7 linked regions of the Macaca fascicularis genome follow. Each later gene encodes a partner of the first gene's protein in a complex. Links are inferred from orthologs where the notes say so. Each region holds a gene or a part of one and is shown in the gene's direction. Other genes may lie near its edges.

Region 1 (4,349 bases):
GATAGGTTCCCTAATTACTCTTTCCTCTTCCCTGAATCATAGTTCATGGTTTTACTTTTGATGGATAAAGAAGGCCATTTCAGGTTTCTTAAGAGAATTTATGTACTCACCCTAAACAAAGAGGTTGTTGACTGGTCTGATTCGAGTTCATGAATATTATGTAACTGGATGGTATCTTGAGCTGGTTCTGTAACGCTTCATTTTTATGAGACCATGGACTTAAAGGTCAACATTTGAGAGACTAGTCAGGTATCTGGAAAATAAAACTAAGCCTGAAAGTTACATAGATATTCAAGTATAGTTCTTGAGTTATTGAAATGGGATGCAAAGTTTTAGAATGTAGAATGTCAGTGGTTTAGCAAACGGTTTTTTTCTTTTTTCTTTTTCTTTTCTTTTCTTTTTTTTTTTTTTTTTTTTGAGACAGGGTCTCGCTCTGTTGCCCAGGCTGGAGTACAGTGGTATGATCATGGCTCACTGCAGCCTAAACCTCCCACACTCAGGCATTCCTCCCACCTCAGCCTCCCAAGTAGTTGGGACCACAAGTGTGCCCCACCGTACCTGGCTACTTTTTTGTATTTTTGGTAGAGACAGGGTTTCACCATGTTGCCAGGCTGGTCTTGAACTCCTGGGCTCAAGCAGTCTACCTGCCTTGGCCTCCCAAAGTGTTGGGATTACAGGCTTGAGCTACTGCACCCAGCCTTTTTTTTTCTATTTACTAAAACTTCAGGGTTCTAAGAATATAACAGATCATTAAGAGAGTACAGCAGATTTAACTTCCTATAGATGCTAAGATTATAGTGATTTATTCTGCCTTTGTTTGACTGTTACATTTATTTGAGGAGCAACTGTTGAACTGTTTGACACTGATTTCCTTTTATTAAAATCCACAATTATCAGCACAAGTATCTATTTTTCCAGAGGTTGGGTTCTGAAATCCTACTGTCTGAGTTTAAATCCTAGTCCTCCACTTATTTTAACGGTATGACCTTGGGGATGTTACCAAAGCATCAGTGAAATGGACACAATGTTAGAAGCTTTATAGAGTTATTATGAAGGTTAAATGAGACCATAGATGTGTTTGATCTTCTGCATAAAGCACTCATTGATAGCTGCTGTTATTTTGCGTCGTTGTGAAGAAAGATATAAGGAAAAAGAACCCCAGTTAAGTTTAAGTGGGTCCTAAAATGTGGGCATATTTTAATTTAATTTTAGCCAGGCTTGATGGCTCGTGCCTGTAATCCCAGCACTTTGGGAGGCTAAGGGTGGATCACCTGAGGTCAGGAATTCAAAACCACCCTGGCCAACATGGTGAAACTCTGTCTCTACTAAAAATACAAAAACTAGCTGAGTGTAGTGGCACACGCCTATAGTCCCAGCTAGTTGGGAGGCTGAGGTAGGAGACTCACTTGAACCCAGGAGACAGAAGTTGCATTGAGCCAAGATGGCACCCCTGCACTCCAGCCAGGGTGACAGAGCCAAGACTCCAGCTCGAAAAAAATTAAATTAATTTAACTTCAAATAATTAATTGAAGCACTTCTGTGACTGGGTTTTCTGTCTGCTTTCACCCTAGGGTTATACAATTCCATTAGACAAACGTCTGGCTGCTGATGGAAGAGGACTACAGACAGTACACATAAATGAAAATTTCGCCAAACTGGCAGAAGCCCTCTACATTGCTGATCGGAAGGTTGGTTGGTTATAATTTGTTTAATGCTCTTGTTACTTTTAAAATCCATTCTTGGTTACCTAAGGTACTGATAATTTAACTATAGTACCAAGCACCCAGAGAGAGTCTCACCCATGGTACGTGTGTCAGAAATGGCAGCTGCTAGTTGGCAGCTGTCTGCATGCTCCTAGCCTTTGTAGATGTGTACATACACCCCACAATGGTGATCCGGCTCCCTCACAACATGCCAGAATAATGATTTGCTGGGGATGATCCCATTTTGTGAAGACTGCTAGGTTTCGTAATTCTTGATTTCAAATTTTCCTGTATTTTAGATGTAGCTGTCCCACAAAAAGGCAGTTGCAGGCAAAGACAGATAAACATTCTAATGAATTGAATGCTACATAAAATGGCGTTCATAGCATTGGCCATCTATTAATATTGCATAATGTATTAAATATTATGAAATTAGGCCAGGCACAATGGCTCATGCGTATAATCCCAGCACTTTGGGAGGCCAAGGCTGGTGGATTCCTTGAGATCGAGAGTTCAAGACCAGCCTGGCCAATGTGGTGACACTCCATCTCTACTAAAAATATAAACATTAGCTGGCGGGCACCTGTAATCCCAGCTACTTGGGAGGCTGAGGCAGGAGAATCTCTTGAACCCAGGAGGCGGAAGTTGCAGTAAGCCAAGATTGCACCACTGTACTCCAGGCTGGGCAGCAGAGTAAGACACTTCATCTCAAAAAATATATATAAATATAAATATTATGGAATTAATAAATGATATTGAAGTTCACATGCATCATAGCATGTGTTTAGAACATAAAAAAAAGTCTTGTATCACAGTGAGTTCCTTATAAAAATTATCTAGCAGATGTAAGTTAAGATTTTATCTTGAGTTGACTTGATTCATTTTGAAAATGTAACCAGTCCCTTTTTATTTATTGATTTATTTTGAGATGTATCTCACTATGTTGCCTAGGCTGGTCCCAAGCTCCGGAGCTCAAGCAGTCCTTCCACTCTGGCTTCCCATAGTGCTAGGATTACAGGAGAGAGCCACTATGCCTGGCTTTACTTTTGTTTTTTAGATTGTTTCTGAGAAAGCATTAGTGAAACACTTGATTTACAAGATTAATTGGGGTCACTATAGTTTCAATCACTAAAATATTCCCAGAGAAGAAAGCTGACCTTGCAGTGTCTTCCAGGCAGGATATCTTTTAGTGGACAAGATTCTTTGTTTTAATTAGCAGTAACAAATCTGAATTCTGTATGATTGCTCTTACCAGCCAGATTTTAGGGAGCTGGATGACAGCCATAAATATTTATCCCATGATAGTGTCCTGTTTAACATGTGACTTTACTAACAGGCTCGTGAAGCTGTGGAAATGCGTGCCCAAGTAGAGAGAAAAATGGCTCAGAAAGAAAAGGAAAAACACGAAGAGAAACTTAGAGAAATGGCTCAGAAAGCCAGGGAGAGAAGAGCTGGGATCAAAACTCACGTGGAAAAAGGTATGACATTCTCATTACTGAATTGAATTTTACTTGGTGAACAAAATACATCTATTTTAGAAAATCTTTTTTTTCCTACTGCATATAAAGTTAGGTACATCTAAACAAAATTTAGATACTTCAGATATAGTGTAGAAATGGAGAGTAATCTCTGCCTTAGTAAACTGAAGCAACAGGAGATAATAAAAAAGTGGGTCTTCAGTTTGGGACTGTACCAGAAGTTTTTAAACTTCTGAGCAATGTACTTTTAAAAATTGCATTATTACTCAAATGATAGGCTTGATTTTCTCTTATTTTAATCTCAAAACTTAAGAGAAATTAGGTATCTAACTGAATAATTCCACTCCCTCATATGGTGAAATAATCCGGAGTTTTTCTACCTTGTAGGCTCTAATGCATCATTAAATCTGCCAGTATTTTCTCTCTGACTTTACTTAGTGGTCTACATTGGTGTATTAATTCAATTAGAATGGGAAGTCGAGTCCTAATTATAATTCAAGAAATTCTGTGAGGGTGGTTTTTTTCATTACTGAATTCTTACCTGGTACATTTATTCATTCTTTCATCTATTTAGTTCATATTGAGCATCTGCTGTGTGCAAGGTTCTCTTTTAGACACAAGGTGTTTTTGCTAGACAGTGGGTAGGGGGATGGGATATAACAATCAACATTCTAGTGAGTGTAGACAGACAAAAGTTAATGATGTAGTATAGTAAAAGGTAATAATTGATATGGAAGAAAAATAATACAGGGAAGGAGGATATAAAATTGCTGGAAGGTGAGAGTGGTCAAATAGCCCTCGCTTCTGAGATGGTACTGTTAGCAGAAATACTTGAAGGAAGTAAGGAAGCAAACCATGTGGATTTCTGGGGGAAGAGCATCCCACACAGAAGGGCCAGCAGGTACACGACTGAGATGGAAGTATGCCTAGTGTGGCTCAAGGAAGAGCAGGCAGGCCAACGTGACTGGATTGTATGAGAAAGAAGGGGATAAGCAGGAGATGAGGTGTCAGAATATTTAGGACAGGTGGGAAGAGTAGTGGCCAGATCATGTATGGCCTTTTAACCTAAAGATAAAGCTTTTACGACAAGTGAAAAGGGAAGCAATTGCAGGGTTTTGAGCATAGTGATGTGACCTGACATATTGTTTTCCAGCCTTATTGTGGTATA
Region 2 (4,672 bases), on another chromosome or scaffold:
CAACCCCCGCACAGGCATGGAATCGCTCACTGTCACACCCTGCAGCAAGGTCAGCCTGGGAACGCATGGAGGTGGGGGAGGTGGAGTTGGCCCACAGAGAAGGTCCAACTCAGAAGCAGAGTGGGGCCTTCCTAGGGAGCGGGGATGAGCAGTTTGCATCCTTCCAGATTTCTTGCGTAAATACTGCCTTTTCTCTTTTCCCTGACCAAATTGTCAGCCAGCCTGCTGTCCTTTCTTTCCAGGCCTCAGCCAATCAGCGAGCTGGCAGGGCAGGTCGAGTGGCTGCAGGGAAGTGCTTCCGCCTGTATACCGCCTGGGCCTATCAGCACGAGCTTGAGGAAACCACAGTGCCTGAGATCCAGAGGACCAGCTTGGGCAATGTCGTGTTGCTGCTCAAGAGCTTAGGTGATTGGGCTACCTGAGAGAGGAGGGAGGGGCTGGAGTCACTGTCCTTTGAAGGGACTGTGTTCCATCTGTCACACCTCTGTCTAGGGATCCATGACCTAATGCACTTTGATTTCCTGGACGCTCCACCATATGAGACACTGCTGCTGGCTTTGGAGCAGCTGTATGCTCTGGGAGCCCTCAACCACCTTGGGGAGCTCACTACGGTGAGTTGGGGGGCAGCATGGCTTGGGGCAGGATGATAGGGGTCAGGATGGCTCCAGGGGCCCCTGTAGTAGTAGTGGGAAACCTGAGGGAGGACTGAGCTCAACTCTCTCTCTCCTCTCCCTAGTCTGGTCGAAAGATGGCAGAGCTGCCGGTGGACCCCATGCTGTCCAAAATGATCTTAGCCTCTGAGAAGTAAGCCCTCCCCTCCACCTGGTCTCCCAGCACACATACTGGCCAGGCCTCCTCTTGTCTCTGTGGTCCTCTTTGTCTTTTTCTCTTCATCATATTATCCTTTAACACATAAGAAAGTATTAGATAACTCTGATTGCCCTCTTTTGAGGGTAAGACACTTGATCCTATCCTTGATTCCACTGTGCCTGGCCCCTTGAGGAACTTACTCGTTTCTAAGGTTTGAAACTAAAACATTTAATGTAGCTGTGGAGGGACGACCTTTAAATGCCATTCCTCTGCTGTCAGAGATCTTTTCCAAATGCACATAGTGAATGCACACTTTCTGCAGAAGCCTCAGAAGTCCCCAGTGTTTCCTGCTCCTGCCTCCATGGATGTCCCTCCTTTGTGACTGTGTTTCATCTATGGCCCCTACCTCCTTGACCCCCAGGCTGCTGCCAGAATCTATCTGCTGGCTGCTTTGTAGCCATTAGGCCAACCAGCCTTTTCCACATGAGGGAACATCCATCACACAGTGATCACTCCCCACTCCACCATATCTGTTCCTATGTGTCTTGCTTTGAACTCATGCTTTCCCCTTCCTGTCCCAGGTACAGCTGTTCAGAGGAGATCCTGACAGTGGCTGCCATGCTCTCTGTCAACAACTCCATCTTCTACCGACCAAAGGACAAGGTCGTCCATGCTGACAACGCCCGTGTCAACTTCTTTCTCCCTGGTGGTGACCACCTGGTTCTGCTAAATGTTTACACACAGGTCACTGGGCTTGGGTGAGTGGGAATGAGAGACACCGGGGGACTTTAGTCCTACTGTATACTTAACTGTCTCTCCTTTCTTTTTAATCCTTTTCCCAGTGGGCCGAGAGTGGTTACTCTTCCCAGTGGTGCTATGAGAACTTTGTACAGTTCAGATCAATGCGCCGAGCCCGGGATGTGCGGGAACAGCTGGAAGGGCTCTTGGAACGTGTGGAAGTTGGTCTCAGTTCCTGCCAGGGGGACTATATCCGTGTACGCAAGGTCAGCATTTCTTCAGCCTCCTGCTCTCCACCCCCAGTACCTTCCCAGGAGCAAGCTTCTCTAGGGGCATGCAGCAGTTCCTCCAGCCTGAGAGCATGCCCTCTTCCCCTTGTGTATGACGGTGTCCTCCCAGGGCCCTTTCTTCCCCAGACCACTGGAGGTTCATTCCTGGGAAGTTCTTCATGCATTCCTTACCTCTCTAGTTTTCCTGAAGCTGGAATTAAAAAGGTAGTGAGCTCTTAGGGTCCCCAGATGTCTGCCTTTTCCATTGATTTTCTTTCCTGCCTGCTCCTTAGGCCATCACTGCTGGTTACTTTTACCACACGGCACGGTTGACTCGGAGCGGCTACCGCACAGTAAAACAGCAGCAGACGGTCTTCATTCATCCCAACTCCTCCCTCTTTGAGCAACAGCCACGCTGGCTGCTCTACCACGAACTTGTCTTGACTACCAAAGAGTTCATGAGACAGGTGAGGACAACATCCTGTGCCCACACAGGTGGAGACTATGTAGAGAGATGGTATCCTGACAAGCTAAGAACCCAGGTTCAAGTTGCTGGGACTGGTACAGAAAGAGGAAGGTAGGGTAAAATAGAAAGACATCCTTTGTTTTGTTTTTGTTTTTGAGACTGAGTCTCGCTCTATTGCCCAGGCTGGAGTGCAGTGGCGCAATCTAGCCTCACTGCAACCTCTGCCTCCCGGGTTCAAGATATTCTCATGCCTCAGCCTTCCAAGTAGCTGAGATTACAGGTGCAAGCCTCAATGCCTGGCTAATTTTTGGTATTTTTAGTAGAGATGAGGTTTCACCATGTTGGCCAGGCTGGTCTTAAATGTGTGCCTCGGCCTCCCAAAGTGCAGGGATTACAGTTGTAAGCCACTGTGCCCAGCCCAAAGACATCCTTTCTAACAGGTGTCAGCATCTTCCAAGATCTGAGAACTAGACATTTATTCAATACATATTTGAATGGCTACTGTATAGGTGCTGGGGCTATAATGAACAAAGCAGAGTGTCTCTTGTCTCACAGTGTACTTTGTCTATGTTCTAGGCTTTTCTTTTTTTTTTTTTTTGAGACAAGAGTTTCGCACTCCAGTAGCCTACGCTGGAGTGCAGTGGCACAGTCTCAGCTCATGCAATCTCTGCCTTCCAGTTTCAAGCAATTCCCCTGCCTCAGCCTCCAGCTGGGCTTACAGGTGCCCACCACCACGCCCAGCTAATTTTTGTATTTCTAGTAGACAGGGTTTCACCATGTTGGCCAGGTTGATCTCGAACTCCTGACCTCATGATCCGCCCGCCTCAGTCTCCCAAAGTGTTGGGATTACAGGCGTGAGTCACCACGCCCGGCATGTTCTAGACTTTTCTTAGGAATAGCTTATTTGGTATCTTGAATAACACATAGAGGTGTATCTGCCCTTTGGATATATAATAATAGAGCCAGGCACCTTTACCCCTAGCCCTGCAGTCAAAGAGGAAAGATAACTTTTGACCACACACATGAGGATCTAGGTTGGGGCTGGGCATAGTGGCTCATTCTTGTAAACCATCCTAGCACTTTGGGAGGCCAAGGCAGGATCCCAGCACTTTGGGAGGCCAAGATCAGCCCAGGCAACATACTGAGACCCCATCTATACAAAAAATTAATGGGGCACTGTGATGTGTGCCTGTAGTCTCAGCCACTTGGGAGGCTGAGGCAGAAGGACTGCTTTGAGCCTGGGAGGTCGAGGCTGCAGTGAGCCATGATACGCCACTGCAGTCCAGCCTGGGCAACAGAGCAAGACCCTGTTTCAATTTACGAAAAAAATAATAATACACAAAAGATCTATGTTGGAAAGAAGGGAACTCCATTGATCTTTTCTCTCTCCTCCTAGGTACTGGAGATTGAGAGCAGTTGGCTTCTGGAGGTGGCTCCCCATTATTATAAGGCCAAGGAGCTAGAAGATCCCCATGCTAAGAAAATGCCCAAAAAAATAGGCAAAACACGAGAAGAGCTAGGGTAAGAGAAGGACGTAAACAGAACCTGTGACACCAGCTCCTTTTCCTTCTATACATTATTTAATACCTATTAAATAAAATTATTTTTGGAATAAAGCTTGTGGGAATATTTGGGATCTAGAGAAAGTGATACATGAAATTCTATCTCATATAGTCAGTTAAACTTTATTATTTACAAGTTAAATTACAGAGCAGCTTTACACAGCATGAGATGGAAAGGAAGGCAGGAGAGAAAAGGGAGGAAGCTGGCTCCTGAGATTCTTGGCTGCCTCCACCTCCTTCTCTTGGGCTTAGCAGTCTTCAGTGCTGCCCCCACTCAAAGGTCAAGGATCAGGGCTTGGAACACAGGTTTAAGTCAGGTTCTGGCTCTGACAGCCCCAGGGCCACCAGGGCTCCCACTAGCAGCTTCTTCACAGGCGTTGGAGGTGAGTGTGAAGGCATCAACTGCAAGGAGAAAGGTTAATGCCAGTTGCGGGAGGCACACAGATGTTCTACCCTTCACCCCACCCAGCCCTACCTAGGACTCACTTTATCTAGACGATGGCGACAAATGAGGCCACTGGAATTCAGGTAGAAAGTGGAGTAGGCATCATAGGTCCTGGGGAATACAGGGAGGCTTACTGAGGGAGAAGGTGACTGGTCCCAAAGCTGAATTCAAGCATTTGTTTAAACGAGTAGTCTCTAAATTCTGCTACATATTAGATCACCTGGGCAACTTACAAACATCTCAGTGCTTAGGTTGTCCCGTCTCAATTAAATCAGTGTTTGGCATCAATATTTTTTAACGATCCTTGGGCATTTCTACCATGCAGCAGTTTGGGAACTGCTGGTTTAAAAACTTATATCCAATGTTTGTGGCTGAGCCTAAC
Region 3 (3,181 bases), on another chromosome or scaffold:
AGCATGCTTGGTATGTTCAAAGCACAGCAAAAAGGCCAGAGCAGATTGAGTTAAGGGACAAATGACAAAGTTAGGTTAGAATGGTGGCCATAGAGAGCCTGTTAAGTGATGGTGAAGACTGAATTTAATACATGATAGAAAGTATGTGGAGCATTATTGTGTAATTTAGAAACCAGTTAAATGTCGTAATTACCTTTTACAAAAAATTAGTTGCTCTTAATACATTATTTCTTATAGCCGTTACATACAAACTAATTGTCTCAACAACTTCATATATTTCAGACAAAACTATCATCTGGATAATGAAGATTACTTTTTGTTTTCTATAAGAGAGGGAGTAACATCCAGTAGTAGTGTTCATTAACATGTTTTTCATGCCTTATGTCACATCCTATTTTGATCCTTATTGTTAAGCCGTGTTTTTCTTTTCCTTTTCCACATGCCTAGTTGTGAAGGAAACCTCCCTCTCTCCCTTCACTCCTGTTAGTGTCGTCGCTGAGTCCCAGGTGGCATTGATTGTGATTTTTCTTTTAATTACAAGTAAAGATTGTTACCTATATGTAGAAGGAAAGCTAAACATTTTGATATAAAATTAGAAATAATAGGGTTCAACAAAATAACTGTAAAAGTCACTGTTAACTATTTAACTTTCACTTAAGAACTTGTTTTTCCCTGTTTATTGGTACATAATTTTAAAAAATTTTCTTATTCAGGCCCAGATGTGGTAGCTCATGCCTGTAATCCCAGCACCTTGGGAGGCCAAGGCAGGAGGATCACTTGAAGGCAGAAATTCAAGACCAGCTTGGGCAGTATAGCAAGATCTCATCTCTACAAAAAAAAAAAATTGTTTTGAAGTAGCCAGACTTTGTGGCACATGCTTTTAGGCCTAGCTACTCAGGAGGTTGAGGCAGGAGGAGCCCAGGAGTTGAAGGTTTTGCTCAGCTATGATTGTGCCACTGCATTCCAGCCTGGGCAACAGAGGGAGACCCTGTTTCTTAAAAGACAGGAAAAGAAGAAAATTCTAACTCAGTTATCTGCTTTGGTTGCTGACTAATATAAAAGTATTTGGCATGCTGGCCATAGCTTTTGTATACCCATTTGGACACCTCAATATGATTTATGTTTTACTCTGAGAAAACTTAACGTCTGGTTCTTTAGAATGAATTTTCAGAAAACTTTTTAATCACAATTTATTCATAGAGACTGCCTTCTTCCACACACTGTTTTGATATCTAATGGAAAGAAATATTACATAACCTGGGAGATTCAGAGGCTTATGTTGAGACAAACTTTATTATATATTTGTTCTATATCCATGAATATTAATTTTATTGAAGGTTTATATGAAACCAAAAGTACTACAGTAGTAATAGAAAGCTCATCCTCTGTTTATTAATTATAGATAAATTTGAGTTGTTGGTATAGGAAGGTCATAGTAAGTTCTCTCACCAGTATTAGCTGTATTGTAATATTTTCCTCCTGTGTGATTATACTAATTTATTTCTTTTTATTGAAAGCTTGCAAATACAGAAGAATACATAGATGGAGCTTTGTCTGGACATCTGGGTGAAGTTTTAATAAGGTAACGAACAGCAGTGGTATATGTAAGGAGTTACTGGTGAGCATTAGGAATACCTGTTCTAAATATATTAGTGCCTCAATTTTGGAAGTACTTTAAAAAAAAAATTACTATTATAATACTTTACAATTAGACTTCAAAAGTCTTTGAAATTGTTAAACTTGTCAAAGGTAAGTTTTCAAATGTTTTAGAACTGGCCAAAAGATTTTTCTAGTGTTAAATTTTCTGGCTCTTAGCTATAACCTTTTACAGTGGCAACCTTTTGCAGTGGCCTTCATTGCAAGAACTTAGTTTTGAATTTTAGTTGGGTCTGGCTGTTTGTAAGGATTTTTGTTATATTGATTCTCTGTACTAGCTTCAAAGCTTCAAATTCTGGTAATTGTTTCCTTTGGAAAATCATAAAGGTGTCATTTTAACAACCATATGGTGGAAAATAAGTGCAATGTGCTTTTCAACAAGTCTATGTAAAACTCTTTTTAAAAACAAATATATTAAAAAATTTTTTAAGACAAGAATATTGTAAATATAGCATTCAGTATTTTCATAATAAAAATACAGTAATTCAGATCATTCTGGTTGGAACAACAAAATGGACTTTTTCTATTTACAGGTGTAATAATGTCCTTTATATCAGAGGTGTGGAAGAAGAGGAAGAAGATGGGGAAATGAGAGAATAGCATCTTTTGTTGGGGATTTTTTTTTATATATATATTTCTAGACAATAAAGATTTGTTTGTTTTTCAACTTGACTTGCGAACTATTTGTATTCAGATATTTACAAGCAAAGCTCAAATGTTGAACCAGTTGGGAAAGATTACTCACAGAACTAATGCTTTAAAAGCCACCGAATTTCATTTAAGTTGCTTTTCTTTTGTAAGCTCAATACTCTTTTTTTTTTTCCCCCATAAAGGATAATTATATGCTTTAGATATTTTTATGAAGGTGAATTTCAGACCTTTTCTTGTAAAATTATCTATTAGCTGCGACCTTTTAAATGCAACGTTTTCAAGTTATTTTTGAGCCACTTTTAACATGTATAAAATTAAACATTTTCTTGGCATTAATAATATTCTGTCTTATTTTACTTAGTCAATAAATTACATGTTAATTCGGTGTCAGTATAAGCTAAATGCACATATTGTAGCTAAAACTGAAACATCCTCTAAAAATTAAAATGATTGTACAGACAGGGCACAACAGAAATTGGGAACTGACATTCAGGCTAAGGGCATATGATTTGTTTACTAAGGAGAAAAAAGTTCTTTGAACAAAACGTAATGTGGAATAAAAACCGGTCTCACAGTTATGTTCTGAGACCATAACTTCGAGGTTAAGTTTTAAGCCTTTCAAAACCCTTCAGATATTTTAGAGTTATACATTGTTAAAATGTATATTCCATAGTAATAACAGCATGCTATGAACTTCCCTACAGATGGGTTGAGAAAATATATCATTTACATTCTCATGTTGTAAGAGAATGGCCATTATTACACTTCAGTGGTCATTTACCATACAGTTTTATCAGTAAACTATCTTTGTGTATCCCCAAGTGGAACAACTCAAAGTATAGATAACAATGTTGAGCTATATGGACTAATACTT
Region 4 (5,050 bases), on another chromosome or scaffold:
TTCCTTTCCATGGCCTGTGCCCGGGAAGGCAAAGGGAATACACGTCAGTGGACGGTCAATATCAGGGGAAAGAGGGTTATTGGATTATGCGCCAGAACACAAATGACCCCAAAGCACTCTGGACATTATGTCACTCACACTGGGAGGTGTTACAAAAATCTGGTTTTCTATTTTATACAGACAAGTTGAATTTCACAGTGAGGACTTACACAAGACTTGTCGCTGAAAATAGAATACAGAGTCCTGACTTTCAATTTGGAGTTCTGTCTTAATTTTGCTCTGTGCCTCTAAAAATACTTTTAATTTTGGTGCTTCAGTCGAGGAGGCATTTGGATCTCAGAATTCAGTTTCTTCACTCTTCCCCCATAGGATTGTTCTACAGCAAGTCGTTTCAACAGGGGACCTCACACAAAAGCAGAACTCTTGTTAGGTACCTTTGAGCTCAGGGATAAAGTTTCATTCTTCATTGAATGTCTTTAGTGAAGAAGGAGACTTTCACCCAAACCACACGCAATGACTGAGCAGGAAATCAAGCAGAAGGGGCAGAGGAAGGAGCTCAATGACCCGATCCCAAATCCCTCTGTCCAGCCCAGGGCTGGAACAGAGGTCCCTAGGTACCTGGGCAATGTCTTTAGTTCTACCACTGTACTTCTGTAGCTTCTGCGTATCTGAGGCTGACTGATTTCTACAGAGATATTCTTTTCTTTTTTTTAGACAGGGTCTTGCTCTGTTACCCAGGCTGGAGTGCAGTGGCATGATCTCGGCTCATTGCAACCTCTGCCTCCGGAGTTCAAGCAATTTTCGTGCCTCAGCCTCCCGAGGAGCTGGGACTATAGGCGTGCACCACCACGCCCGCCTAATTTTTGTATTTTTAGGAGAGACGGGGTTTCATCATGTTGGCCAGGCTGGTCTCGAACTCCCGACCTCAAGTGATCCGCGCGCCTCGGCCTCCCAAAGTGCTGGGATTACAGGCGTGAGCCATCTGCAGAGAGATTCTCTACGTGGGTTCTAGTCGTGGCTCTGGCATTTACTTGTTGTGGGACCTCTCTGAACTGCAAACTCCTAGTGAGTTGAGTTAGATTTTGTGGCGGGGTCATCACCAACAGCCCTAGCGCAAGGAAGCAGGAGGTCCCCAACCAATCCCACAGCCACCCTACCCCAACGTGGGGAATCTGAACGCCAAGAAGGGGCTGGGCTGGCCAGTAACCGAACTCAAGTGTCCAGTTCTCAGCCCTCCCCAGGCATTTACTAACCCTTCTGTCCCCTTACTCAGCCTCCTGGACCTTCACCCCAGCAGCCCCGTCCTTGGTCCCCTTGTTTTCTTTGGAGATCCCCTGATAAGTCAACATGAGAGCAGCCCCGCGCAGACCACTCCCGCAGCTGTGGTTGCCCAGCAACTGCGCTAACAGCCTGGCCACGTGATCTGCCGGAAGGCCCCCCCCATTTCAGGGTAGTCCCGAGGCGCCTGATCAGATTCGTTCATCCTCAGGTCTCACCCTCTTTGGAGCAGCCCACGTCTTGGGCTACTCGTCTTGGGGACCGGCTACTCCGCCTTGCCAGTTCCTGTCTCCGCGAGGGCATACCTCGGAACTGGTCCTCAGGCGGAGGGTTGTCCTCCCGGGCAGAAAGGCGACAGCGGTGTCTGCGGGGTCCTTCCTGGCGGCGGGCGCAGACGTTTCTTTGGCGTGGGGCGGAAGCGCGTTCTCCGGCGGCGGCCTCAGAACTCTTAGCTGAGCAGGCGGGAGGTAAGTTGAAGCGGGTTAGCGGCAAGGAATGCTTGCTCCAGGTGGGATAGGAAATTAAAGAGCGTCAGATCTGGAAGAGGCCTTATATGCTATCTGCCCCTTTTGCTTTACGGATGGGTAAATTGAGGCCTGGAGCGGAAAAAATAATGGAAGGTCCTCTCCTCCGCGTGCCTCCCCAAAGCTTTCGAAGCGCGCACGCACGCACACACCTCGATTTCGGGGCTGCCTCTATAGCCTCAGTCCGTAAAATCGTATCCCTAGAAAGGAGTGTTGCTCTAACTGTCCAGTCCCGTCGCTCATTCCCTTTTCCATCTGTGCCGCCTTCAGCCGTTCTCTGCCAAGTTCCCTCCGACGTTCCCTTTGAGCGCCTGCATTGTAGCGGGAAGCAGCAGTGAGGTTTGTAACCATGAGTCGCTAGTTTTGTGTAACTGTGGGCAAATCAGCTATATTCTCTGTACCATGTTAGAGTCACTCATTAGTTCGATAAATACGTATTGAGGGCTTAGTCTACGCTAGGCACTGTTCTAAGTAAACAAAACAAGCCCTTGCTTAAACTGTAGTTGGGGAAATGAACGGTAAACAACTAGATAGAAGTCAGCTAGTGATAAATGTATAACATTTGTGAATAACAATAAAACAGTGAAAGTGGGAAGTTGGAGAGTATGTATGGGGGACTTTTTAGAGTGACAGAGAAGGTGACATTTTAGTGGAGACTTGATTGAAATAAAGGGACAAGGTGAAAATATCAAAGGGAAGAGCGTTTTGGACAAAGAGAATGGCAAGTGCAGTGGCCCTGAGGCAGAACTGAACTTGGCTTGTTCCATGAACAGCTTTATATAAAATTTTTTTCAATCGGCCGGGCGCGGTGGCTCACGCCTGTAATCCTAGCACTTTGGGAGGCAGACTCGGGCGGATCACCCGAGGTCAGGAGTTCGAGACCAGCCTGGCCAAAATGGTGAAACCCCCCCCTCTACTAAAAATACAAAAAAATTAGCCGGGCGTAATGGTGCACGCCTGTAGTCCCAGCTACTCGGGAGTCTGAGGCAGGAGAATCTCTTGAACCCAGGAGGCGGAGGTTGCAGTGAACCAAGATCGTCCCGTTGTACTCCAGCCTGGGCAACAAGAGCAAAACTCTGTCTCAAAAAATATATATAAAATAAATAGATAAATAATTTCTTCAAGCACTTGACTGGGGTCTTGGGAGAATGAGATAAGCATAAATGCGATAATAGCTTTTTGGAAGTAAAAAGAATCTGTATGCATGTGAAAGTTTCCATAATAATTTACATTTAGTTATTGGTCCTTGGAGCTCCGATTCTCTCTCTACATTCAGCACCCAGCAGATGGCATTGAGGGAGGTGGAGGTATCAGTCTAATCCAAGAAATATCAGCATCTTAAAATTAAACATCCCATTCAGTTAACATTTATCCAGTTTCTACTTATGCAAGGTGCTGTCTTGGCTGTTGACTGTGTTAGCATTGGTACTTTTTTCTCAACTATTTAAAAATGTAAAATGCAGCTGGGTGCGGTGGCTCACAGCTGTAATCTCAGCACTTTGGGAGGCCGAGGCGGGCGAATCACCTGAGGTCAGGAATTCGAAACTAGCCTGGCCAATGTGGTGAAACCCCATCTCTACTAAAAATACAAAAATTAGCCAACTGAGGTGGTGGGTGCCTGTAATCCCAGCTACTTGGGAGGTTGAGGCAGGAGAACCGCTTGAACCTGTGAGGTGGAGGTTGCAGTGAGTCAAGATGGTGCCACTGCACTCCAGCCTGGGCAACAGAATGGGACTCTGTCTCAAAAAAATAAAAAAGTAAAATGCATTCTTAGCTGGAGGACCATGCAAAAACAGGTGGAGGGGCCAGATTTGGCCACAGGTCAGAGTTTGTGAATTCTTGCCCTAAAGTATTAGGAGCTGAAGAGGCATTGTGTCAGCAGCTTACTGTCAAATATTTGGGGAAAAGAAAGTTATTTGTACTGTTCTTGCCACTTTTTGGTATTATTTTAAAATTAAATTTAGTATCATAAAAGAAGTGAAGGGAAGAAGCAGATGCATGGAACACAGGGTTCTCATGATCAAGGATGGCAAAAAATAATGCTAGCTGTTTATTGAGCCTGGGACTCTGGTAAATTCTTTACACAGGGTGTTTTTTGTAATCCTCATAAACATTTATTCAGTGAGGATTATTCATTCCATTTTCCAGTTGAGGAATAAAAGTCAGGTTTGGAGAGATGAAGCAACTTACCTGAAGTTACATAGTTGTTAGTGGCAAAGTTAGAATTTGAATCTAAGTCTTCCAACTCCAGAGCCCTGATGCTCTAGTCTGTTATTTATTGCTTATAAACTATAGTTGGTGATGGTAATTAGTACAGTTAACTACTATTTGTTTGTTTGTTTATTTATTTATTTATTTATTTTGAGACAGAGTTTTGCTCCGTCGCCCAGGCTAAAGCGCAGTGGTGCAATCTCAGCTCACTGCAACCTCTGCCTCCTGGATTCAGGTGATTCTCCTGCCTCAGCCTCCTGAGTAGCTGGGACTACAGGTGCGTGCCACCACACCTGGCTAATTTTTTGTATTTTTAGTAGAGATGGGGTTTCACTGTGTTAGCCAGGATGGTGTCGATCTCCTGACCTCGTGATCTGCCCACCTTGCCCTCCCAAAGTGCTGGAATTACAGGTGTGAGCCACTGCACCCAGCCAGTTAACTACTATTTAAGACAAAATTAAACACTGATAAAGGTGCAAAAAGCTCTAGTAGGATAGGGGAATGAGAAATTGAGGAGCTAGGAAAGCTTGAAGGAGGTGGTGGCATTTGAACTGTTTCTTTGAATAGAATTTCAATAATTGAAGTGGAAAAAACCCACAAAACACTACTTACTTACAAAGGGAAAATGAGTAACTTTACAATAGAGAGGCCTGGCAAACATCACCTTAATGAAGTGATCAAAGTTAACGTTACCACCAATGAGGCAAATTGAAATCATGTATCACCTGATAGGAAATGCTTTGAGAACCACAGTTCTCACATGTTCTCACAGCATCACTTCTATGATATTCCTGCCTAAAACACATAACCTGAATATTATCATAAGGTAACATCAGACAACCTCAAATCAAGGGACATCCTTAAGGATGTCACGACAGTCCTTGGAAGGAAAGACTGAAGATTGTAAATCCAAAGAGACCAAAGACATGACAACCAAATGCAAACATGATCCTGGATTGGATCCTTGGGCGTGTAAGATATCATTGGAACAATCTGTGAAACGTATTGGAACAATCTGTGAAACCTGAATGGGATCT
Region 5 (3,489 bases), on another chromosome or scaffold:
TCCCAGTGAGATGAACCCAGTACCTCAGTTGGAAGTGCAGAAATCACCCGTCTTCTGTGTCACTCACACTGGGAGCTGTAGCCTGGAGCTGTTCCTATTTGGCCATCTTGGAACCTGACCCAACAAAGTTTAAACAGCAGAATAAAATAATTTTCAAGTTATCTCTCTCCTAGTAAAGTTTTCCTTCCCTTCCGTTGTAATAGAGTTATTTAACCATTTATCAAATTTTTGTTTTGGATTTTTTTTTTCAAGTAGCTTCTACCCATGTAAGGAAGTTATTAAACCAAACGGTAGGATATAAAGCAATAACAAGGAAGAGATGTATAACCTGCAAAGAGGAAGGAGAGTTTACATCTGTCTGGAGCAGCCAGAGAAAACTCTAAGGAGATGCATTTGAGCTGCCTTTTTGGGAGATGTATTCACCAAGGGAACAGACATTCCACGTAGAGGGAACAGCTTGTACAAGAAAATGGGTATGGGCACAACAGGTAACACGGAGAAGTACAGTTGTCCCTCAGTATCCGTGAGTGATTTGTTCCATGACTCCCATGGATACCAAAACTAGAGGATGCTCAAGTCCCTGATATAAAATGGCTTGTATTTGCACATATGCACATTCTCCTGTATAGTTTGTCTCCAGATTATTTAACAATACCTAATACAATGTAAATGCTATGTAAATAGTTGTTATACTGTATTGTTTAGGGAATAATAACCTTAAAAAGTCTACACTTCAGTACAGACTGACTTTTTCCCCAAATATTTTCAATCGGGTCGGTTGAATCCACAAAACCCACTGAATGGAAGGGCCAAGTAGGGTGCAGTGAGGCCTTGGAGGAAGGATATCAAAATAAGTGGCTAGAGAGGAAGGAGGAGCTTGAGGTGGAAGCCGGAATGTGTGGGAATTGGTGCTGTACTTGCTCACCAAGCACCCTGGTTAGAGCTGAAATAACTCTTTTATGCCACAGACTCCTAAGAGACATAGCTGGGACCAGAACTTGTGCCTGCCGACTTCTGGGAAATCCATCCCTGGTTGTGAAGGGATGGCTGTGCTACCATGATAGCTTTGGAAAACAGGGAGAGTTTATTTTCGGGGCTGCTTGTAGTCCAGTCCTACTTGGGTTTCCCATTTCCCATCAGCCCCAAGCCACCCACGGATGCTCCCCACCTCCCAGACATCACCCTCCACTAGGTCCCCAGATCACTTTTAAAACGCGACCAGGGGCCTGGCGCAGTGGCTCACGCCTGTAATCCCAGCATTTTGGAAGTCCGAGGAGGGAGGATCACGAAATCAGGAGTTCGAGATCAGCCAGGCAAAGACAGTGAAACCCCATCTCTACTAAAAATACAAAAAAAAAAAAAAAAAAAAAAAAAAAAAAATTGGCCTGGCGTGGTGGTGTGCGCCTGTAATCCCAGCTACTGGAGAGGCTGAGGCAGGAGAATCGCGTGAACCCAGGAGGCGTTAAGTTGCAGTGAATCGAGATCGCGCCATTACACTGCAGTCCCGGTAACAGTGCGAGACTCTGTCTCAAACAACAAAACGAGACCAGGAGTTCCAGAAGCCTACGAGCACGAACTCCCAAGACCACAAGTCCCAGCATGCAAGGCTCCCTGTTGGAAAAGGGCTTCCCATAGCCACCAAGTGGACCATCATGCAAAGCTCTCTGACGGGGCGGGGCTCTCTACAGGGGCGACACACTTGTGGCGTCGCCTCGGCAACTCCAATTCCGTGACAGAATGTGCTTCCGCTTCCGCCTTTGAGCCCTATGAGCGAGACTTACGCTACTTAGTCGTCGTGACGCCATTCTTCTGCGACGGCGCGGGCCGGGAGCTTCCGCACGGTGGCCTCACTCCCGCGTGAAACGCCAGAGCGGCGATTTGTTGTCTGCGTCCTCTGTCCTGGGAACTAAGGGGAAAGCGGCGAGATGACGGACCGCTACACCATCCACAGCCAGCTGGAGCACCTGCAGTCCAAGTACATCGGCACGGGCCACGCCGACACCACCAAGTGGGAGTGGCTGGTGAACCAACACCGCGACTCGTACTGCTCCTACATGGGCCACTTCGACCTTCTCAACTACTTCGCCATTGCAGAGAATGAGAGCAAAGCGCGAGTCCGCTTCAATTTGATGGAGAAGATGCTTCAGCCTTGTGGACCGCCAGCCGACAAGCCCGAGGAGAACTGAGACTCTGCCTTACCACCACTGTGCGGGGCACCTCTCCCAGTGTTCCTCAGGTTGGCCAATCCCTTCGACTATTTCTGCCTCCAAAGGACCGGCTCTCCATGGCTCCTGCGTCTGGTACTTCCGCGTACAGAAGTGCTTGCCCGGGGAATCCCGCCTGACCTGCCTTCATGTGAACCCTTTGGAATAGCACTGGGAGACCAGCAGAACCCCTGAGAACTGTGTTGGTGAAGAGGGCCTAGAGCCGGCAAGCGTTTGAGAAGAGGGCGTGGCGCTGGAATGAGATGGGATTTGGCGTCTCATTTTTGGCTAATTGATTGTCATTGGCTTTTTCCATAAAGTTTAGAAATCATTCACTCTCTTGGTGTGAACTTCCTGTGTTAGGGTGGAGGGCTCCTGAAAGACCCGAGCGGGAAATGGGTCGGGGGAGGGAGTGCATGCCAGTGTCCATGATCAGGTACTTAAATCCACCCTGTCTACCATTATAATTAATTCCCCGACTGCCACTTCTCCCAAGAGCGTTATTTTCAGGCCCACAATGCCTTCAGTATTGAAGTTTGTGGTTATTGTATCCCATTTTCTTTTTCTCCCGTTTTAAAAGTCTTTGCAGTCTTTGCTGTCATTGTCCTCCTTAGCCTCTTTAAAATGCATCCTTTCTTTTTCTTGGGAATTTGTGGCCATGTCTCCAGAAATGACAAGCTGGCAAGTGAGTTCATCCTTTCTATATTCAACAAATATTTGTTGAGCTCTATGTGACAGGCATTTTCCCATGGTCTTGAGGCTTACATTATGCTGGTGGTGGAGAAAGGAGGTCAAACACTGTAGACGTAATAAGTAAATGTTAGAAGATGCTGCGGGGAGGGGAGAACAATGTACGTGGTGTGGGTGGGAGTAGTTGGTAGGGCCATAATCTTAAATATGATACACAAGTTACTGAGATGGTGACATTTGAGCAAAGACTTTAGGGAAATGAGGGAAATAGCCATGCGGAAAACTGGAGAAATTGCTTTCCATGAAGAGGGAACTGCCAGTGCAATGGTACTAACACTGGGAGTATGCATGGTTTATTGGAGGACCTGCAAAGAGGCAAGCATGGCTGGAGGGGGTGAGCCAGGGGAAAAGTAGAGGGACAGGTAATGGAGGGGGAAACGAGTAGAGCCTTGTAGGACAATATATGAACCTCTGAGGAGCCATTGGAAGGTTGTGGGTTTTTTAATTTTAGTTTTTAAAAATAAGAGATGGGTCTTGCTATGTTGGCTAGGTTGGTCTTGAACTCTTAGCCTCAAGCAGTCCTCCCACCTCAGCT
Region 6 (5,044 bases), on another chromosome or scaffold:
TAACCCCCATATGCAATCTGTCACTGTTTAGCTTTCATTGCCAAGATAATTTTACAAAGTTAATGAATAGCTAGGTTGGAATGGGGAAGGGGGAACAGACATAGAATGAATGAGGAGAAACTGTCATTGGTGGGCAGGCTCTGTTCTCCTTTTTGGCAGGACATTGGTTACATGGTGGGCCACTTGAGGGTACAGTTGGTATCGTCATCAAAATGTTTTTATGAAGGACCTAATATCTGGTGCTCTGAGATAGGCCACACAGCTCTGGACTTTTACTTTTAGAACATCATGGTCCAAGAGCAGGTACTGATGTGGACATGTGCAAAATGGATTCAAACTGTCAATATGGGTTAAATCACATATTATATGTTAATCATCTCTTCCACTGGTTTCTAGATATTTCTGGTTGAAATCTATCAGGCAAATATATCTTGTCCCCTTAATTATAATATTAGCTCCTTGAGGGCAGAGGACCCAACCTGATACTCCTGTCTACAGACCTTAGCTGCACAGGACAAATCTAGATGTTCAGTAAGGACTGATTGAATCAACCTGACCTACTGGGTGCAGGTGCTCTAGTACCTTTCTAGTTAATTTATTCATTTGAGCCTCATTTCTTCCTCTACAAAACGAGGGTGGAAATTTCTTTTACTTTCTCTTTCTTTTTTTTTTTAAAAACAAGGAGTCTCGCTCTGCTGCCCAGGCTGGAGTGCAGTGGTGCGATCTCAGCTCACTGCAACCTTTGCCTCCCAGGTTCAAGTGATTCTCCTGCCTCAGCCTCCCGAGTAGCTGGGATTACAGGCGTGTGCCACCATGCCTAGCTAATTTTTGTATTTTTAGAGGAGACAGAGTTTCACCATGTTGGCTGGGTAGGTCTTGAACTCCTGACCTCAGGTGATCCACCTGCCTTAGCCTCCCAAAGTGTTGGGATGACAGGTGTGAGCCACCACACCTGGCCCCCCCTTTTTTCCTTTATTTTAGAGACAGGTTCTGCTATGTTGCCCAGGCTGGTCTCAAACTCCTGAGTTCAAGCAATCCTCCTCCCTCAGCTTCCCAAAGTGCTGGGATTACAGGCATGAGCTGCTGCGCCCGGCCAGGAATTGTAATTTTATCTGCTTCATTGGGTTGTTGTGAGGGTGGAGAGACAATACATGTAAATTGCTTAGCACATACTCTAGTATCATACAGTACATCATCTGCTCACTTGCTAGCTATTAATTTAACAATATTAATTTCTGTCTCCTGCTCAACTAGGAGAGAGCCTATGGAAAAGAGTAAGTGCAGCGGCTCTCATGCAAATCTGTAGGTATTCAATTCAGCCTATAGAGGCACACTGGTCTGTTGCCTATGTATTGGGATAAGAACAACAGAAGATTTACCTTTTCACCTATCTTCTTCACTTTTCTGCCATGACAGGGATGCTTTGATGGGTCTGTGCGTGAGCAACTGACTAAGAGCGAAGGTCCAAGTGGGACTCTGGACTGGGAGCGAGGGCTGAGACTAAAGTCGCCACATCAGGCTGCTTATTCCGTTCATTCAGCAAATATTTATAGCTAATCTAACCAGTTTCCGATATCGTTCAAGAGCTGGGGGTCCTGCAACAGCCCAGGCTCGTGCCTTTACCCCATTTCACAGAGGAGAAAAAGCGAAAAATTAGAGAAAAACCGTTTCTACAAGAGGTAACCGCAAAGAACGCGGAAGGCTTCTAGTGCGCAGGCGCCACGCCCCGGTACGCCCCAGCTCTTCCGGCGCGAGGTCACCGACTCGACGAGCCACCGGCGCCGGGGCCGCGCATGCGCGGCGCTGCCTTTCCCGGGCGCTGATTCCTGAATGCTGAGCGCGAGCCCGCGGAGATGAAGTAAGGCGTCAGCTTCCTTTTGAGGAACGAGCAGCGGGCCGCTGAGGGTGGTCTACTGGGGCTGGGGTGGTAGAGCGTCTGCGGGGTCGAGGGGCGGGAGAGGCGCGGGGACTAGAACACCTCGTCCCCTTGTTTTGCTCTTCTTCAGCTTCGGCCGGTTAGCATTTACTTGTCTGCTTTTCTGCCTCCCCTCACCCCCGCCACCGTGAAGTCCTTTAACTAAGGTGAAGCTGATCAACGAGCTGAATGAACGAGAGGTCCAGCTTGGGGTGGCCGATAAAGTGTCCTGGCACTCCGAGTACAAGGACAGCGCCTGGATCTTCCTGGGTGAGGTGCACATCTTTCTTCCGCAGTGCTCCCAAGATTCTCCTGCTCGGTGTCCGACTATTTCAGCATTTTCACCCTTCACTCCTGCTTACATTCATTGCCCTCCTTTATATCCATCTGCTGTCTGCCCGGGAATCCGTGTTCCATCTTTTTTTTTTTTTTTTTTTTCTGCCCCATTTTTAGTTTTCCTTCCCAGCCAAATCAGTGCTCATGAGAGTTACTGTTTGCCATTTGCTGTGCTAAGGTTCAGGGACTGTTGTTATTTCTCTCTCACCCCCTGACCCGTTATTACAGCTGAGGAAATTGGGGTGCAGAGAAGTTAAGGGACTTCCTTAAGGTCACATAGCTAATAACCGCAACAGGCAGAACTATAGCTTTCTAGAACTCATGGTCTTAGCCACAGCCCCATATTGCTACCACCGCCCTCCCCCATTCCCCTTCCCTTGCAGAATTCACTTTGCTCCTCTAGCTCCTGCTTTCTGACCATGGCCACACTACCATTACTGTATTCACTTTATATCACAACCAGTAATTGTACAAGTTTGATGCTTCAAAGAGGTTATTGTAAAAACGTTGTGCTAAGCACTTTATATGCATCGTTTTATTTAACTCTTATAACAGTCTTGCGAGTTACCTGCTAATATCCCCATCTTACAGATGAGGAAAGAAACATTTGGAAGGGAAATTATTCCCTAGGAAATGCTTAACAGTGTCTTTATAACCTTTGTCTATGTGTAGGTGGGGTTAATCATGACATATGTAGACTAATTTTGTATCATAGCTGTAAATTTGTGGGTAATGAGCAGATGAATTCAACATGTTTGTGGAAGCAGAGGTTTGTGATGGAAACTATCTGCTTTGCCCATAGGATTTTGGGTGCCAGGAGGACTGAGTGATCAGTTTACTTTTGTTAGTGGTGACACTGACTTCCACTCAAAATTAGTCACTCCTTTTCCTGTTCTACTGGCACCTTACATGTACTTCTGTCATTGCATCAGACTTGATTTCTTTCTTTCTTTTTTTTTTTTTTTTTTTTGAGTTGGAGTTTCACTCTTGTTGTCCAGGCTGGAGTGCAGTGACGTGATCTCGGCTCACTACAACCTCTGCCTCCTGGGTTCAAGCGAGTCTCCTGCTTAAGCCTCCTGAGTAGCTGGGATTACAGGTGCCCGCCACCTCGCCCGGCTAATTTTTTTTGTAGTTTTAGTAGAGACGGGGTTTCGCCATGTTGACCAGGCTGGTCTCGAACTCCTGACCTCAGGTGATCCACCCGCCTTGGCCTCCCAAAGTGCTGGGATTACAGGCGTGAGCCATGGTGCCCAGCCCAGACTTGATTTCTTTAAGGGCAGGGCCTGTTGCTTACTGTTTGCACCCCTAGTGCCTGGCCTAGTGCATGGTACGTAGTAAACACTTGGTAAATGTTGGTGGAACTGAAATGTGGTTTTCTTTTCTAGGAGGGCTTCCTTATGAACTGACTGAAGGGGACATCATCTGTGTGTTCTCACAGTAAGTCCCCTTTCATTTCCTGCCTCCTGAGTCGACAGAGTACTTTTTTCTGTAATGCATTTTGTGGCATCACAAAAACCACTTATTTTCACTCTAGGCTGAATGGTGTCCCTGCATGGGGAGGGCTGGAGCTTCTGCTCTAGTCTAGATCAGTCCCAGGACATGGTTCTAGAATGTTCTCCTGTGGGAGATCCAAGAGGTTTGTTAATTTGGGAGGCCATCTTGGGGATTCTAGTCTATTTCTGTTGTTTTTCACTGAGGTTTGTTCAGCCTGGGCCTAGACTGGAACAGACTGGAACCCTCAGGAAGGTTCCATATTGGTACGCCTCCTTGGGCTCTTGCAAACTAGGGGTAACCCATGGTCACAGGGCCCTTCTGGTCCTTGCCTGTGTGGCATCATACGACTGGGGCAAACCACAGAGGAATTGGGATGAAAAACAGAAAGAAGGTTGTAGTTTGCTTTCTTTGATTCTCAATGAATGTAAGGTTAGTGAGCAAAGCCAATCTCTACCTGGAGGCTGAGAATCACAGCCTGACGAGGAACAAGAATGAATAGGAGATCTGTATATTCTTCATTCTGCTGAGGTGTTGGCAGCAGCATTTGGTGGGAGAGGGTGTTGGTGGCTCATACTGGTAGTAGCAGCTAGTAGGAGAGGGGCTGGGCAGCTGGCCTGCAACCCCAGAGGTAAACAGCACAGTTAGTCCACAGGGCCAGAGGATCTTGGCACAGGTGCAAAGGACCACTACATTTGGGTTTTGTAGGCCTTCAGAGCATAGTACTGTTTCAGAGAAGTTGGACAGCATGTACAGGTAGCAGACCATGGCAAAAGGGGCTGGCCAAGCAAACACAGGTAGCATACACTGGCAGAGGGATTGCTATGGCAGGATGGTAGGGCCATCCATGGACAGAGGGCCCTGGCTGAGTGGTTGGGCCACTTATGGGGCAGCAAGCCATGGGAAAGGAATTGGGCAATACCCGTGAGAAGAAGGCTGTGATAGAGAACCTGGGCAACCCACACGAGTGGAGGGCCCTGGCAGGGACAAAGATTGCTTCCTTCAACTTGTGGATGTTGCAAGGTTCACAGCAGGTGCAGCCTATAATTTCTACCCCTTTGTGTACTTCTACTCAGCCTTCCCTCTTGGAGCTGTTTAGTTCTACTTGCATTGAGTGATGATCAGCTAGCACGTGTGCTTGTTTGTTTATTCTAATTCTCTATTCTCTATTCTGGTTACACACGTTGCTCTCCATGAAGATTGCCGCTGATAACAGTGCCTTTCAAAAAACTGCTTTGTTGGCTGGGCATGGTGGCTCACGCCTGTAATCCTAGCACTTTGGGAGGCTGAGGTGGGCGGATC
Region 7 (4,062 bases), on another chromosome or scaffold:
TCAGTTACACATTTGCATCTGGTTCTCCAGATAACATAAAGCAGTGGAAATTCCCTGATGGAAGTTTCATTCAAAATCTTTCCGGTCATAATGCTATTATTAACACATTGACAGTAAATTCTGATGGAGTACTTGTATCTGGAGGTAAAATAAGATTTTTATAATAAATATGTTTATCTGTTACTTTTAATGATGAATAAACATTTGTAATGCTTCTAAGCTGTCACACTTAAGTATTATAGCAGCACTTGCCTGATTAGGGCATATTTGCATGTTACTATGTGTGTTCATGCATATTCATAATACATGTAGTATATTTCATAGTTTAGTCCTTTTGAGTTCCAATCTGATGAATCTCAGGGATTTATGCTGGGAATTGCCTAAAATTTTGTTTATTCTGGAATTGGATGTTAGATTTTAGGTGCTTTTTAAGATCTATAAATTCTGAACCCAGCACAAATGAAAGTAGAAAAGCCAATATTAGGAGAAGATTGAGTGCCTGTGTCTTATGTATTTTTATAACCGAAGTATTGCCATGCTTGGGCTAATGATGCTTAATAAATGTTTGTCAAGCTGTACTGCTGAAGGGATACCAGGTGTAACTAGATTTTTCCCTTTAAGCTGACAATGGCACCATGCATCTTTGGGACTGGAGAACTGGCTACAATTTTCAGAGAGTTCATGCAGCTGTGCAACCTGGCTCTTTGGACAGTGAATCAGGAATATTTGCTTGTGCTTTTGATCAGTCTGAAAGTCGATTACTAACAGCTGAAGCTGATAAAACCATTAAAGTATACAGAGAGGATGACACAGCCGTAAGTTCTCTGTTTCACATTTGTTAAGTAAAGCAGCTATACCAATTGGGCACTGTGTTCTCATTTAATTTTATCAGAAGGAAAAATAATCTTTATAGTATTTAAGATATTTGTTTTCTTGAATAGTGTCTATTTATAGATTTCTATATTATTTCACTGATGCCAGTGAATTCATGGATGGTTTTAATTTTATCCCAGCTTTCTTTGTTATAGTTGCTGGGAAATGTTGCACCAAGAATAACAGCAAATAAATAGATTGCTATGCAAATTAATTTGAGAATCATAAGCTTTGGTATTAGTAGATCCAAATAGAAATGTTATTTTAGATTAAAAACTGCAAACTAAACATAATGAATCCATCCATCTGTTATTAGACTTAGATAATGCCAGAAGTTTATCAACTCTTCCTAAAATTGTCAAAGAACTACTAAGTATATAATGCCAATGAATAATGTTAGAGGAGATACCTTATTTCTGTTAGAAAGGAAGCCTGTTAGACATGAAGCAAACTAATAATACTTTATTTTAACTTGCTTTTCTACTTTTAGACAGAAGAAACTCATCCAGTCAGCTGGAAACCAGAAATTATCAAGAGAAAGAGATTTTAATGAATGTGGAATTTTCTTTTTTTTTTTTTTTAAAAAAAAAAAAAAAAGCTTGGCGTTGATGAGGATACCCAGTCATTTTGTGCTCTGGCTGGGAATATAAAGGAGAAATTCACTTGCTTCAATCATTGCTGCTTCATATTTTACAATAAACTGTCCCCTGTCCCCTACCCTTGTGTTTTTATTTCTAAAACAATTTGTGATACTAGGAAGATGCAGATATCAAGTAAATGCAGGTTTATTGACTGTAACTATTCTAGATGTAATATTTTGACAGTCTTATTAGAACAACCCCCTTTTTAAAAAAAATGTATGAAACCGATTATTATAATAGGACATTTGAGGGAGCAGTAGGTTTTTTTTTTTAATCCTTTAAAAATTAATATCTGTGACTAATAATTTGAGATTAAAAGATTTAAAGTCTTAACTTATATATGTTTATTCCAAAAACGGTTTTTGAGTGTATGTTCTACAAAGTTCTGCACTAGATACCGTTCAGGAAATAGACAAGTAAGATGTGTCTATCCTCTAAGACTTCCAGTTTGGTAGCTTAGTATAGAAATTCTGTAATGGAGGTGCAGGTGAAATGCTGGGGGAACAGAAGTGGGGATGAGATCATTTATTTTTCTCAGGAAGGATTGTGGAAGACTTCATAGAGTAAGTGGCATTGGAGATGACTTTGAGGTGAAGGAGGACAAAGAAGGAAAAGAGATAAGGCATGAAGCGATGAAACCAGGCAGAAGAAAGTGTGCAGTGTGTCCTGGGACAAAGAATTTTCTGCTACTGTTGAATAATGGAGAGTAAAGCTGGCTTGTTGTGAGGAAAGCTCATATAAATTTGGATTTTATTCCACAACTAGTAAGATACCAATACTGCCATTGAAACTTGGGGAAAATAACTGGAGATACCAGTGCAGCTGTTTAAAACTGTAGCAAGGGCTGCAATCTTGTAGAGATTTTAAAGAGAAGTTTTAAAGTTTCTAATGCCTCTTTTTGATAAATACAAGTTTTATAAATCTTGCCCTGGGATCCTGATTCCCCTTTAGTCAAGAAGATTTGTCAGACTTCACCTTCTATAATGAGAAAACACAGTTATAAGAACAGTCAGTTTTTATAATTTTCCAAATTAAAAAATTGCACTATGATTTTGAATAAGCATTTCCAATTATATTACCCATCTTGCATGCTATAGGTGGGAGTATAATTGGCACAACCTTTAGGAATGTAGTTTTCTGGGGTTTATTGAAACTGTTTGAACCTTTTGGCCTACTAAGTTCATTTCTAGGGAACTGCCTAATGGGAATAATCTGACAAGTGTACACAAGCAAATTCATTGCACCTTTGTTCTTTAATACTTAAAACTCAAATGTCCTGTCAATAAGGGATGGTTTAATAGATGGTTCCTTTATGCAATTTGTTTCTAAGTATTCATTAAGTGAGTGAGGAATGTCTGGATTATTAGGGCAAAATTTCCAAACTTTACTCTTAGTTAAAAAAAGTTGTGCAAGCATTTTTTGTGAACAACTTAATGCTCCAAAATATAACACCACATTACTAACAGTGGCTTTGTTAGGAAGCAGAATTATGGAAGAACTTTCACGACTGGCTTTACATATTTCTATGTTTTAATTTTCTATAAGCATGTATTTCATAAACTTAAATAAAGAAAAAAGAACGCTGCACTTGCATTCCTGAGAGATTCTGATATGCCTTCTAACAACAAAAATCAGAGGTAGATGCTGTTAAAGGCCAAGAAGAAATGACTAGTACAAGGAGATGAGAAAGCCCCTACCAATCTTTTTAGCAGAGCTTCAACTATTGTGTTCAAGTTAGGTACACATATCAAATTCTGAAAAGCATTTAAAAAAATCTGTTTCCCTGCTCCATGCTGGCCTATATTACAGTGTTTCTTGAAACTTCTGTTGCATTAAGTTCATCTACCATAATGTGTTCATGGACCCTATGAAAGGTGCAGAATTTCATGCATGTGCCCTTTTACTTACCTGACAGACCCACCACCAGGGTTAAGCCCAAATCTCTTCCACTGCCCATTGCATATAGCTTAAGTGTAGTCAAGCTATAAAGTGTTACCAAAGAAAGGCAGCTCCAGAGACCGGACTCATTCTTGGTCTGTAACCACATATCTCAAGGGAGCCATCAACAATGACCAAATACACATCTCCATAGTTAACGCCTTTTGCCTGCTGTTGCAGAGGATGAGCAATCGGCCTCACAACAATTCCCTCTGTGCAGTTGTTGCCATACACTCTTGCCCACCCAAGGACCTTGCTCCCATGATTAAACCCTGACCTGTACCATGAATTTCTTTCCTTGGCCCTAAATGAATGTCATCAAAAAATAGGTTTCAATACTGCCTCTTAGAAAAAAAAAATTACTAAACCTAATGTTTCCCTCTAGGAATATACCCATTTCTCTATTCTTATAGCTAAACTTGTAGAGTTTTTGATAAACTTATTTCTATTTCCTCACTTTACATTTTCTCATTTTTTCAACCAATGGCAAAAAAAAAAGAAAATGTGTTAAACATTTTTCTTTTGACAAAAGGAATTGGTAAGTTAATGAAATAAGGAAAAATAGTAAATAAACTTAAAAATTGATTTTTTTGGTACAAAAATAGGTAAA

Evidence for each region.
Region 2: SNW1 (region 1) and DHX16 share a complex: the UniProt entries of both Homo sapiens proteins name them as parts of the minor spliceosome. The link is inferred for Macaca fascicularis from reciprocal best matches to the Homo sapiens genes SNW1 and DHX16.
Region 3: SNW1 (region 1) and SNRPF share a complex: the UniProt entries of both Homo sapiens proteins name them as parts of the minor spliceosome. The link is inferred for Macaca fascicularis from reciprocal best matches to the Homo sapiens genes SNW1 and SNRPF.
Region 4: SNW1 (region 1) and EFTUD2 share a complex: the UniProt entries of both Homo sapiens proteins name them as parts of the minor spliceosome. The link is inferred for Macaca fascicularis from reciprocal best matches to the Homo sapiens genes SNW1 and EFTUD2.
Region 5: SNW1 (region 1) and SF3B5 share a complex: the UniProt entries of both Homo sapiens proteins name them as parts of the minor spliceosome. The link is inferred for Macaca fascicularis from reciprocal best matches to the Homo sapiens genes SNW1 and SF3B5.
Region 6: SNW1 (region 1) and RBMX2 share a complex: the UniProt entries of both Homo sapiens proteins name them as parts of the minor spliceosome. The link is inferred for Macaca fascicularis from reciprocal best matches to the Homo sapiens genes SNW1 and RBMX2.
Region 7: SNW1 (region 1) and PLRG1 share a complex: the UniProt entries of both Homo sapiens proteins name them as parts of the minor spliceosome. The link is inferred for Macaca fascicularis from reciprocal best matches to the Homo sapiens genes SNW1 and PLRG1.

Annotation. Positions count from the first base shown.
Region 1 is NC_088381.1:145,686,310-145,690,658, reverse strand, and holds part of SNW1 (SNW domain-containing protein 1), read left to right. Parts: intron 1-1,571; coding exon 1,572-1,688; intron 1,689-3,039; coding exon 3,040-3,181; intron 3,182-4,349. UniProt on the Homo sapiens protein: Involved in pre-mRNA splicing as component of the spliceosome. As a component of the minor spliceosome, involved in the splicing of U12-type introns in pre-mRNAs.
Region 2 is NC_088378.1:142,000,248-142,004,919, forward strand, and holds the end of DHX16 (pre-mRNA-splicing factor ATP-dependent RNA helicase DHX16), read left to right. Parts: coding exon 1-49; intron 50-242; coding exon 243-405; intron 406-492; coding exon 493-611; intron 612-736; coding exon 737-804; intron 805-1,391; coding exon 1,392-1,554; intron 1,555-1,652; coding exon 1,653-1,814; intron 1,815-2,110; coding exon 2,111-2,284; intron 2,285-3,679; coding exon 3,680-3,808; 3' UTR 3,809-3,899; downstream 3,900-4,672. UniProt on the Homo sapiens protein: Required for pre-mRNA splicing as a component of the spliceosome. Contributes to pre-mRNA splicing after spliceosome formation and prior to the first transesterification reaction.
Region 3 is NC_088385.1:102,898,078-102,901,258, forward strand, and holds the end of SNRPF (small nuclear ribonucleoprotein F), read left to right. Parts: intron 1-1,517; coding exon 1,518-1,582; coding exon of another isoform or gene 1,583-1,586; exon of another isoform or gene 1,587-1,618; intron 1,619-2,189; coding exon 2,190-2,256; 3' UTR 2,257-2,328; downstream 2,329-3,181. UniProt on the Homo sapiens protein: Plays a role in pre-mRNA splicing as a core component of the spliceosomal U1, U2, U4 and U5 small nuclear ribonucleoproteins (snRNPs), the building blocks of the spliceosome.
Region 4 is NC_088390.1:65,951,362-65,956,411, reverse strand, and holds the start of EFTUD2 (116 kDa U5 small nuclear ribonucleoprotein component), read left to right. Parts: upstream 1-1,668; 5' UTR 1,669-1,745; intron 1,746-2,072; 5' UTR 2,073-2,141; intron 2,142-4,168; exon of another isoform or gene 4,169-4,172; 5' UTR 4,173-4,290; intron 4,291-5,050. Other genes in the region: DNAAF19 (dynein axonemal assembly factor 19), read right to left, coding at 1-11. UniProt on the Homo sapiens protein: Required for pre-mRNA splicing as component of the spliceosome, including pre-catalytic, catalytic and post-catalytic spliceosomal complexes. Component of the U5 snRNP and the U4/U6-U5 tri-snRNP complex, a building block of the spliceosome.
Region 5 is NC_088378.1:48,298,458-48,301,946, reverse strand, and holds SF3B5 (splicing factor 3B subunit 5), read left to right. Parts: upstream 1-1,849; 5' UTR 1,850-1,925; coding exon 1,926-2,186; 3' UTR 2,187-2,535; downstream 2,536-3,489. UniProt on the Homo sapiens protein: Component of the 17S U2 SnRNP complex of the spliceosome, a large ribonucleoprotein complex that removes introns from transcribed pre-mRNAs.
Region 6 is NC_088395.1:136,676,173-136,681,216, forward strand, and holds the start of RBMX2 (RNA-binding motif protein, X-linked 2), read left to right. Parts: upstream 1-1,789; 5' UTR 1,790-1,853; coding exon 1,854-1,858; intron 1,859-2,069; coding exon 2,070-2,185; intron 2,186-3,636; coding exon 3,637-3,688; intron 3,689-5,044. UniProt on the Homo sapiens protein: Involved in pre-mRNA splicing as component of the activated spliceosome. As a component of the minor spliceosome, involved in the splicing of U12-type introns in pre-mRNAs.
Region 7 is NC_088379.1:159,451,671-159,455,732, reverse strand, and holds the end of PLRG1 (pleiotropic regulator 1), read left to right. Parts: intron 1-4; coding exon 5-144; intron 145-621; coding exon 622-815; intron 816-1,363; coding exon 1,364-1,423; 3' UTR 1,424-3,107; downstream 3,108-4,062. UniProt on the Homo sapiens protein: Involved in pre-mRNA splicing as component of the spliceosome. Component of the PRP19-CDC5L complex that forms an integral part of the spliceosome and is required for activating pre-mRNA splicing.